Linked DNA regions of Drosophila melanogaster. Changing the gene in region 2 together with the main gene of any one other region gives a genetic interaction. Each region holds a gene or a part of one and is shown on either strand. Other genes may lie near its edges.

Evidence for each region.
Region 1: of Sgsh (region 2) and Sod1, changing one enhances a phenotype caused by changing the other (phenotypic enhancement), as found in Drosophila melanogaster (one study listed by BioGRID).
Region 3: of Sgsh (region 2) and sll, changing one enhances a phenotype caused by changing the other (phenotypic enhancement), as found in Drosophila melanogaster (one study listed by BioGRID).

What each region holds. Positions count from the first base shown.
Region 1 is NT_037436.4:11,112,141-11,115,740, reverse strand, and holds Sod1 (superoxide dismutase 1), read left to right. Parts: upstream 1-2,000; 5' UTR 2,001-2,101; coding exon 2,102-2,167; intron 2,168-2,892; coding exon 2,893-3,288; 3' UTR 3,289-3,460; downstream 3,461-3,600. Other genes in the region: FoxK (forkhead box K), read left to right, coding at 1-24, 161-257, 323-656. UniProt on the Drosophila melanogaster protein: Destroys radicals which are normally produced within the cells and which are toxic to biological systems.
Region 2 is NT_033777.3:18,910,774-18,914,609, reverse strand, and holds Sgsh (N-sulfoglucosamine sulfohydrolase), read left to right. Parts: upstream 1-1,687; 5' UTR 1,688-1,775; coding exon 1,776-3,350; 3' UTR 3,351-3,557; downstream 3,558-3,836.
Region 3 is NT_033777.3:17,604,086-17,607,921, forward strand, and holds the start of sll (slalom), read left to right. Parts: upstream 1-2,020; 5' UTR 2,021-2,244; intron 2,245-2,292; exon of another isoform or gene 2,293-2,299; 5' UTR 2,300-2,433; coding exon 2,434-2,480; intron 2,481-2,541; coding exon 2,542-3,595; intron 3,596-3,836. UniProt on the Drosophila melanogaster protein: Mediates the transport of adenosine 3'-phospho 5'-phosphosulfate (PAPS), from cytosol into Golgi. PAPS is a universal sulfuryl donor for sulfation events that take place in the Golgi.

The DNA.
Region 1 (3,600 bases), on a different chromosome or scaffold from region 2:
TGGAACAGCGAGCTGCTGATCCCGGTATGTTTTGCTCAATTTAAATCCGTTTCATTCAATTCCAAAATCGAGTTGTTAAAGTATTGTTCTCCAAACACTCGACTTGGGAATAGAACTTTGAGAAAGTCATCTGATTGTAATCTTTGGGATTATCTTGCAGAAATTATTTACAACTCACAAAATGCACACCAGCAACAGCAGCAACAACAGCAGCAGCAGCAGCAGCAGACACTGTCAAACAATTCCAATCAGTACAGGTGAGCACAACATTAAAATGATTCATTCAATGCGTGTCTTAAACATTTATTTTCGTATTTTCCAGTAGTGGCAGTCCGTACTACGTAACCAATCAAAGCTCTGGAGTGGCCACACCACAGACGCATGTGGAAGGAAGCGCAGCGAGCGGCGGCGGCGGAGGCGGCGGGGTTGGAGCTCTGCTTGCGCTAAAGAGGAACCATGTGATGGGCGGCGGGGCATCGCAGCATACGCTGCATCAGCAGCAGGCCGTGGCCCAGCAACAGCATTCAGAGATTATCTACGAGGAGTTGCCGACCGACTACAGCGGCCACATTGAGGCCAGCGAGGAGGAGTGCGTCACCACTGCCACCGATGCCACCGTGGCCAAGCGACCCAAGTATGTGTCGGAAGTGCTCTGATGCGTGCGGATCCAGAAGCACCGGCAGAACAAGGGCAAATAGTGAGGCCCATGGGTGTAAACGATTAGAAAGCAAAAACAAAAAAGTATCTCCATCTTGTATATTGAATTTGCCAATCAAAAACCTATACCTAAACCCCGAAATACAAATCAAATTAAATAGCCACACACGCAGAACTTAAGGAACATGAACGCACGCGAAGAGCAATGTATATGTAAATTGATATGGAACATTTTACAAATAGCAACTGTGAGATGATTGTGTTTGAAATGTTGGCCATGCAGCCGTTCAACGGCGGCGACTTATGCAAGCACACATTTTGAAAATTCGAAAACCCGATTCGAAGTAACGACTTTATCCCCTAGATCTGACGAATTCAATATGCTCGATGACGCTACTCTCTAAGTAATATAATAAATTTTAAGTTTACAACAAGGTAAAGCAGCAAACAAAGCAAAATTATCTAGATATATGCGATTGATTATTGTAATGATTGATGATTATGATGTTTAAGATGTTATAGCTATGTGACCGAATTGTGCGAGAAACGTGAAAAAAAATTTGGGGAAAATTAAGTAACAAGCAAGCAAACCACACAAGTAACAAACAAACAAACAAACAGGCGAATGAATAATATTACCTATCTACATACCTTTACCTATATCGATTTAAATATAATATATATATATATGTGTATATATATATATGTATATCTATATTAATATATATACAAATTATTAAAATACAAACAAAAACAAAAATGATGAAAATAAATAAGTAATATCTACAAATTTACGGATACAATAACAATATATAAAGATTGAAATGATAGCACATTATTTCTTATTAATGAAGAAAATCCCATTTAAGTGTTTGGACAAATTGTGTATTAAAAAAAAAAACAAAAATCAAATGTAAACTTTCTTGTTTCAATTTGTTAATATTTACCTGCTTTAATTGAATTAGATAGATGAATGAATACTAGTTGATACTAGTCAACAGGAGCGCAATCAAGTCTGGGCATTTATTGGGGAATTCCTGGATTCGTTTTTTATTTATACAAAACAAAGTAAATTGAATAGTTCCCGCCACTGTCATTGGAATAAATGGAAGGCTTCCAAGTGAACCACCCGTTCGTTGAACAGCTCAAAAAATTCAACGCCATTTGTGCAGTAAAATTGTTCCGTTTTCAAATTTTGTAATTTGTAGCTTTTATCCTTAAAAATGTAAATAAATGTCCCAATAAAACATGAGCTTGAAATATTACAAAGAAAAAATGCTTCCAGTAACGGCATAATAGTGTGAACGAAACTTTTGCACAACTGAACACTAACAGTAAAAGTTCCGCATGTATTTCTAAGCTGCTCTGCTACGGTCACACCATAGAAGATACCTGGAAAGTTCTCAACTTTTTTCGTTTTGATAAATTGATTAATTCATTCGAAATGGTGGTTAAAGCTGTCTGCGTAATTAACGGCGATGCCAAGGGCACGGTTTTCTTCGAACAGGAGGTGAGAATCCAAAATCATTTGAACTTCTCTGCTCGGCAAAATGTACGAAAAACAGAAGTTCTAAAGGTCAAATAGCCGGCTGCACCCGCGGCCCCCTCTTCCACTTCAATATGCTGCTTTAAATTCTGTCGAGCATTTTAATTAAGTCCGATTTGAGTTTACGCCTAGTCACCCAGCAAGTGCACCTTTATATTTATATAAGCCGCACCAAAATGCGCATATGTGTGTGCGCTCAAGTGCCTACAGCAAAGGTCACGAAATTGGTACTGGACATAAAAAGGAGTTAAGATATAAAGCTCACTTGTTCGTAAAGTATCGTTAAATATCAACAAATATTTGTTTTAGAATAAGCATTAGGAATATGGGAATAATTAGAATGATGCTGTTCATAATTAATTTGTACATCAAAGTCAAAGCAGCAATGTCAAGTGTCAAGTAAACGATTATAAACTTGATGATTACAGGTTATGTTTCAGTGCCGAGGAAATTTATGTTTTTAATCTATAAAGATAACCAAATGTTTACTTTGCTGCCTATAAATATTTCCGTTTAACGTGTGTCTATTAACAAATGTTATTTTCTATAATAACCTATTATCATATGAAGTTGGCCACGCTCGTTATCATAATCAGTGCTTCTGCTCACTATTATACACAACTTGTGTCTTATCAGTATTCGAGTATTATCTGAAGCGTTATAACCCAATCCCTTCATCCCGTCCACAGAGCAGCGGTACGCCCGTGAAGGTCTCCGGTGAGGTGTGCGGCCTGGCCAAGGGTCTGCACGGATTCCACGTGCACGAGTTCGGTGACAACACCAATGGCTGCATGTCGTCCGGACCGCACTTCAATCCGTATGGCAAGGAGCATGGCGCTCCCGTCGACGAGAATCGTCACCTGGGCGATCTGGGCAACATTGAGGCCACCGGCGACTGCCCCACCAAGGTCAACATCACCGACTCCAAGATTACGCTCTTCGGCGCCGACAGCATCATCGGACGCACCGTTGTCGTGCACGCCGATGCCGATGATCTTGGCCAGGGTGGACACGAGCTGAGCAAGTCAACGGGCAACGCTGGTGCCCGCATCGGGTGCGGCGTTATTGGCATTGCCAAGGTCTAAGCGATAATCTATTCCGATGTCGGCCACTGTGCTGATCTACTCTATTTAGCACTACCCACTGGAGATATACAAACGATATACATACTTCTAAACATAAATACATAGCCTGTGGTCTGTTAGTTGATACGCAACCTTTGAGGTTCAATAAATTGGTGTTTTGAAATTGCCCCATAAACAAAAGTTATAGTTTTCATTTGAGTTGAGATGGTAAGAATGAATATATCACTTGTTGCTCGACGAATTCGCAAGTAGAATCGGGTTATAGATTCGTATGAAATGAATTACATATTAGATGAGTGCAGAACCCAAAAA
Region 2 (3,836 bases):
CAATGCATTAGCATCAACTGATTTAAGTTCTGAAAAAAAAAAATTTCCATGTGCTATTAACTTGAGGCAAAGTATTACATACAACACAGTTAAGTTAATATAACAAAAAATATATATATTTTCAATAAACTGTGCAAAACGCAGACAGATTATTCATAGCCGTTCATATTATTTGGCTAGCGACAGTCTGAAAATTGCACAGATAGCATTTCGGTCTAAATTGGCTACAATAGATAAGAGAAGCTAAAAAAAAAGAATAAATTTTACTCTGCACCCAGATAATTTAGAAACGTAGATATTAAGGTTGTAAGTAATAGCAACTATGTTTGCTCACAAAGGGTTAATAAACTGGTATTTAATAAAAAGCCGCGAAACTTAAGTATAGTTCAATACTTTGCGTATTTTTTCGCGCCTAAATATTCATTTATATTCATATGATCATTCACAGGATTTTTAATGTAAATGTAAGTATTTATGGTTACATATGTCACCTATGTCCGCTCCAAAAGGTATAGGGCAACTGGTTTGGCAGCCTGCCATGCAGCAACAACAAACAATACAGATTCGCACTCTTTCTCTCCACGTGAGTGAAACTCTCTCTCGCTGGTTGAGATTGGCTGATGCAACACTTGCCACACGTTGCAACAGCTGTTTTAGTCTGGCCCAGCTGATTCGTATTGTTGGCTTGTTGCCAGAGACTGCGAAAATCTCTTGGCAACATGTTGCCACAACTTTTGGAAAACTCATAGTGTTGTTAAACATGTTGGGCGAAATTTTCACACCGGTGCAGGGCAAAAAGGGGGTGGCTTAAACTGTAGCTGGCTGGCTGGCTTAAATTAGCCGGCCGATGATTCATTTTGGGGGTTGTCCACTTACATAAGATGAGCTCACCCAATGTGAAAACTCTTTAGTCGCTGGAAGAAACTGCGCATTTCGACACAGAAAAGCCTAAACAAGCAGAACGAACATTTGTTTTGTAGATTTATAATTTTTCAAAACATACAATCGCATTGCACTTTGCGATTGGCCTTGACACCCTGACGTGGTTCCATTTGGCGACACTGTTCCTGCTTTTATCTTCTCCATGGCGCAAGATAAAATCAGAAAGTACAACGTGTTGATCACCTAATGGCCAGAGTCATGCAAACCAAACTCTTGGTGATTTAAATCTATTTCCATGTCTGTCACAAAAGAATACTGCTTATTATTATATGGCGGGTTATAATTTACCAAAGTACACAAAATGTTACAATACAATACAGTTGAATATATACTAGTTAAATGTACATATGTTTTATAACAGCTCATTGGCTGTGTTTTAATGGTTTATAAATGTAAAGTGTTTTTAAAGCATTTTAAATTTCAAATGAAACATTTTTTTTGTGGAAGTGCTGTTTTTTATACTGTTCAGATATATCTCACTGATATTTATGATGATTCTTTAATCGTATGACTGTACAGTACCCTCACACTTTAGTTCTCTGTATGGTGTGTTGACTGTAGTCAAACCGCTCCCAAAGAAAGTCGGGCAAAGTGAATGTACCTAGGCGCGCTCCCGCTGAGCATTTGTTGTGTTGATGAGATTAAAACTGGAACTGGGAATGGAATTGAATGCGTCTTAAACGGAGAACGGAGAAATGAGAGGCTTTGTGGACACTTAAAAGTATGCGGCTCTCTTGAGCCGTACTTCAGTACGCTGACGTCGACTGAAGAATCGCTTTGTTCTGCGCTCTCAAATATATTTAATTTGGATTTGGAACTGGATTTATGTCAACATGCAATTTCTGCAGTGGATTTTTACACTATGGCTAATTGCTGGTTGCTCCGCTGGCCCGCAGAATGTCCTGCTGCTTCTGGCTGACGATGCCGGCTTCGAATCGGGCGCCTATCTGAACAAATTCTGCCAAACTCCCAATCTGGACGCACTGGCAAAACGCGGATTGCTTTTCAACAACGCCTTCACCTCGGTAAGCAGTTGCAGTCCCAGTCGCTCGCAGTTGCTCACCGGCCAGGCTGGTCACTCCAGCGGAATGTATGGACTCCATCAGGGCGTGCACAACTTCAATGTTCTTCCGGATACCGGATCGCTGCCCAATTTAATCCGTGATCAAAGTGGCGGACGGATCTTGAGCGGCATCATTGGCAAGAAACATGTTGGGGCCGCCAACAATTTCCGTTTCGATTTCGAGCAAACAGAGGAGCAGCATTCCATCAACCAGATTGGCAGAAACATCACCCGGATGAAGGAGTATGCCAGGCAGTTTCTCAAGCAGGCCAAGGACGAAAAGAAACCCTTCTTCCTGATGGTCGGCTTCCATGATCCCCATCGTTGTGGCCACATCACCCCGCAGTTTGGAGAATTCTGTGAGCGTTGGGGCAGCGGAGAGGAGGGAATGGGCAGCATACCCGACTGGAAGCCCATCTACTACGATTGGCGTAACCTGGACGTGCCCGCCTGGCTGCCCGACACGGATGTAGTGCGTCAGGAGCTGGCTGCTCAGTACATGACCATCTCGAGGTTGGATCAGGGAGTTGGTCTAATGCTGAAGGAGCTAGAAGCAGCCGGCGTGGCAGATCAGACACTCGTGATCTACACCTCCGACAATGGACCACCGTTTCCCGGAGGCAGAACCAATCTCTACGAGCACGGCATACGATCGCCCCTGATCATTAGCTCTCCCAATAAGGAGGATCGTCATCATGAAGCCACTGCTGCCATGGTCAGTCTTTTGGATATATACCCCAGTGTAATGGATGCTCTTCAGATTCCCCGACCGAATGACACCAAAATCGTTGGCAGATCGATACTCCCAGTACTGCGGGAGGAACCTCCGATCAAGGAGAGCGATTCGGTGTTCGGTAGTCACAGTTACCACGAGGTGACCATGGCCTATCCCATGAGAATGGTGCGCAATAGGCGCTACAAGCTTATCCATAATATCAACTACTGGGCAGACTTCCCCATCGACCAGGACTTTTACACTTCACCCACATTCCAGCAGATATTGAATGCCACTCTCAGGAAGCAAACTCTGCCATGGTATCGTTCCTTGTTGCAGTACTACCAGCGACCCGAATGGGAGCTGTACGACATTAAGACGGATCCCTTGGAGCGTTTCAATCTGGCCGATAAGGCCAAGTACAATGGCACCCTGAAGCAGTTACGCGAGCAACTGTTCGACTGGCAGGTAGCCACCAAGGATCCCTGGCGATGTGCTCCGCACGCTGTGCTCCAGGAGCAGGGCGTCTACAAGGATCAGCCCGTCTGTCTGACCTTGGGCCACGAGGCGTTGCAGCGGCCCAAGCGCAGGATTCTCGGTCAGTATGAGGAGTATGTGGTCTTCTCGTAGGTCTGACTAAGAGTATTCAATAGATTGGGTGTGTTGTCTTATCGCATGTCCAATGGTTGATAACTCAACCATGCCAATGTTTTTCACTTCACATGCCGTTACAGTTGCGGTCATACAAATAGGAATTGCAAAAGGTAGAAATGATAATATTATATTAATGTATATTCTTATTAAAATAATAAAAAAAAAGTAACATACAATACTTTCAATAATAAACTTTGTTTAACTTTGAAGCGAGCTGCTAATCTTTAAGCATGGCTAATAAAAAGATCAATGTTTTCAAAAGCAATGGTAATCATAAGAATTAAGCATTTGTTTAGAGTATGTACATATGTATGTTCTTTGAACAAATTTCCAAGTTTACATTAAGGGAAAACTTTAATTGCTTTTTACAAACAAACAGATAAAAATATATTGCCTTGATTTTCACCTGCGCAATGCCAAAAAAATAGCCAACAGAATTGGCAAAGAAAGAAGACTGAAGAT
Region 3 (3,836 bases), 1.3 Mb from region 2:
GCCACTCTCACAAGGGCGAAATCAAAGACACAGGACCGCGATTTCGTGTGTGTGTACGTGTGTGCGTGTGTGTGTGGGACGCGACCTTGAGCAGAAGTAGCGCACTTAATGCAGCCGCAAGAGCAACCCCTAAATTGCCAGCAGCCGCAAACAGTGGTGTTCACGATAATAAAATCACAGCAACGAACTACATATACTTATTAATGTAATAATAATTATTTTCTTTAAAAATAATACGAATCTCAAACTTAACTAATAAGAATTCACTGAAAGAAGCCAAAAAATATGCTATGATGTCCTATGCTTCCTAAATATATTCCCGAAAGGGTAGAAATCTATAATTTGAAATGCGCTGTCCCCCCAAATTTTAAACCTGATACCTTTTCAACATCAGGATTCGTATTTAAATATGAAAATTAATAACTTGTGCTACATTTCTAGCCGCAACTGTGAGTTAAACCCACCGGGGTGGGTGCATCAATGTAAAGACGTAGTAATGCCGCTCCCGCTGGCCGTTCTGTTCGCCTGGTGCACTAAGGTTGCTCCTAGTTACGACGTAACTGTTAACCGGTTTGGCCCGTCGGCAGCGCTGCTCCTGCATGTTACCGTTATGTAATGGCCTCGACAATGGTAACGTGAAAGAACCCATCCCACTCGGTGGGTGGGCCAGCGGGGCAGGCCGTACGCTTTACTCCGCCCCGTAGATCACGCCCTAGTGGGGTGACATGCGCAATGGCATCGAGTGGCGTTGGGTTGCCCACTGCGATTCCTGGTCGCCTGGTAATCCTTGGGCGTTACCTTAAGAAGGGTTAAACCGCTGATGGACACGTGTCTGTCGAGTTGAATGTGCTGCCGCTGCTGCTGCTGCTGAGGTTCTTGGCCGCGTTCTTGGCAAAAATCACAAAGAGCCAGTCCGGCGGTGCCGTACTCGTTTTGGGCGCCACCCAGTGCCCGTACTCGCTAATTGAAACGCTCCGCGGGACTCGGAGGTTGCCGGTGCCTGTGACCCACCCACTTGGGCGGGCAGAATCGCGACCTGCCATCCACAGGGGCGTAGTCCGTGCCATCGTGTTCCTGTGCCAGTGGTTGTCAGTGCTGCATAAGTTCTGGCTGGAAAGTAGACAGATGAAGTAAATTTGATTACTTTTTAATATAGTGGTATGTACATTTTATAAACAGATAATTTTAAATTCCACAAGTTTTGTATTAAGATTTCTCAAAATAATTATTCATGTAAAATTGATTTGATTTTAAATAAACCTTCTCATTATTTGTTTTATTAGGTTTTTAAATAGCCAAATCATCAGCACTAGGGGTTGCACAGCCATCGAAACCCACCCCTAAAGCAAGGAATGGCAATGTCAAGCGACACACCCCTCGCGCACGCACAGACACACGCACACATGGACAGGCAACGAGTCCTTTCGATTTCATTACGTTCATTATGTGAGGGGTGTCCTCTGAATCACACATTCCACACTCCTCCTGAAATTGATGTGCGCCTGGTATTAGACCTCAAGCGGAATTTCCTTTCGTTTGATTGTAAGTTGTGGGAACGTGCAACAGCATGTGTGATGAAATTCAATTATTAAAATATTACTATCTTACCATCTATTATTACCATCTTATTATTGAATACAATAACTAAATATTTTTGTATAAGTTAAGTAACTTTTTACTTTTGTTAATTACCAGTTTTATTATTATTATTTATAACTAGATACAAAGAAAACAGCGATAATTAAGCTTATCTCGATAGTTATTACCAGCGATTACAAATTTTCCAATTGGTTTTAACAAACAGTCCATCCCTCTTATAATCTATTTTAACGATTTAAGGCATGTTTCAAGGCTTTTAATATGCAAAAATGCACAAAAACAACAAATAAAATTACTAATCCGTTTCATACAAAGAACAGCTGACAAAAAAAAACGACCGAAACCTAACGGTAAATAATTCAAAAGATTAGGGAATACCCCAAATGGTATTTACTTTTAGACCGTGTGGTATTTTCTATCGTTATCGGCGCGGTCATACTGGTAACGTATTGGTTACTATTATAAAATATTTGGCAATCTCGTTCTACTCGCTGGCGGCCAAATAGCTGCAGAATGTTTGAGCAGCTGGCCTGAGAGCTAGTGCCGGCTGCCCGAGCCTAGTACCCCGGACGTCCAGAACATCTTGAAGCTCCAAACGCACCGCACGCACATCTGGCAGCCGATTGTAAACAAACTCGGGATATGGTAATTAGATGATGCCGATTTGGAGTGTGCGAATCATGCAAAAACTAGTTTTCAGAGCCGCGCCGGTTGTTGAACTCTTGACACTTGACTGGTAATAGATTATCGCCCGCGGGTTCAATAGGAATCGGAGAATCGGTCGAGTCAGCAGCACCGGGCATTCAAACCGAGAGAGCCAACGAAACGCGCCACATGTACGCCTATAATAAGATGGGTCGGGTTCCAGAGCTTGTTATATGGTGAGAACCCAACGAAGTTGAAAATCAAATTAAACTAATCCCGCCCTTAAAATCTGAACAGCTCCTTCATAGTGGTCACCCTGCTTGTCATACACTTCTTCTCGGATCTGCTGAGAGCCTCCCTAGGCGGCTACTACAACCAGGATGTTACACTTTCCCAGCTGGTTGAGTCGCAGAACTCGGACTACGCATGGTTCCTTAAGCTGCTGGTCAATTGCTTTGGTTATAGCTGCGTCTTTGTGCCGGGCTTCTTGATCTACAAATATGTCGGCAGGATTAACTACCTGGAAAGAGGCAACAAGACATTCCTGCACAAGGCTATCAATATGTGTATCACGGGTAACTCTGGATACGATCAGTTGGATGCAGGGACCAGCACCGCGGATAAGGATCGTCCGGCAGCCTCTACGGCACCAAAGCGAACGAGTTCCCAGGAGGCCGTGCAACTATTATGGTGCTTTGGCGGCCTGATGATCTCCTATCTTACCTGGGGTGTACTGCAGGAGAAGATAATGACTCAAAACTATCTGAACTTCACTGGAGAAAGTGCCAAGTTTAAGGACTCTCAGTTCCTGGTGTTTTCCAATCGTCTGCTGGCCTTTCTCGTGGCGCTGGCCTATCTACAATGGCAGCCCTCACCTGTGCGACACCGTGCACCTCTGTACAAATACTCCTATGCCTCCTTCTCGAATATAATGAGCGCATGGTTCCAGTACGAGGCCCTGAAGTTTGTCAACTTTCCCACCCAGGTGCTGGCCAAATCGTGTAAGATTATACCCGTTATGCTGATGGGCAAAATCATGTCTAAGGCAAAGTACGAGAGTTACGAGTATGTGACGGCCCTGCTCATATCGCTGGGCATGATCTTCTTCATGAGCGGCTCCTCGGACAGCAGCAAGGCCAGCGGAGTGACCACGCTCACGGGCATTTTCCTGCTCTCCATGTACATGGTCTTCGACAGCTTCACTGCCAATTGGCAGGGATCGCTCTTCAAGAGCTACGGCATGACTCCGTTGCAGATGATGTGCGGCGTCAACCTGTTTTCCTCCATTTTCACTGGAGCCTCGCTGTCCATGCAGGGAGGATTCATGGACTCCTTGGCATTTGCTACAGAGGTAAATATATATAAAGATATCAAGCTCTCAATTTATGATGATATCCATTTTAATCAAAATAACGTAGCATGTTCTGAAATTGAAAGAATATTTGATTTGTTTGTGTTTTGTGGTTTGTGATTTGCATAACCCAAATTGCAAAATTATAACAAAATAACAATAGATTTTAAAAATTTAACGTTTTTTCAAGTAGCTGATATATGTAAGACACCAGATGGTACTTTCTCACTGTTTTTTTGTA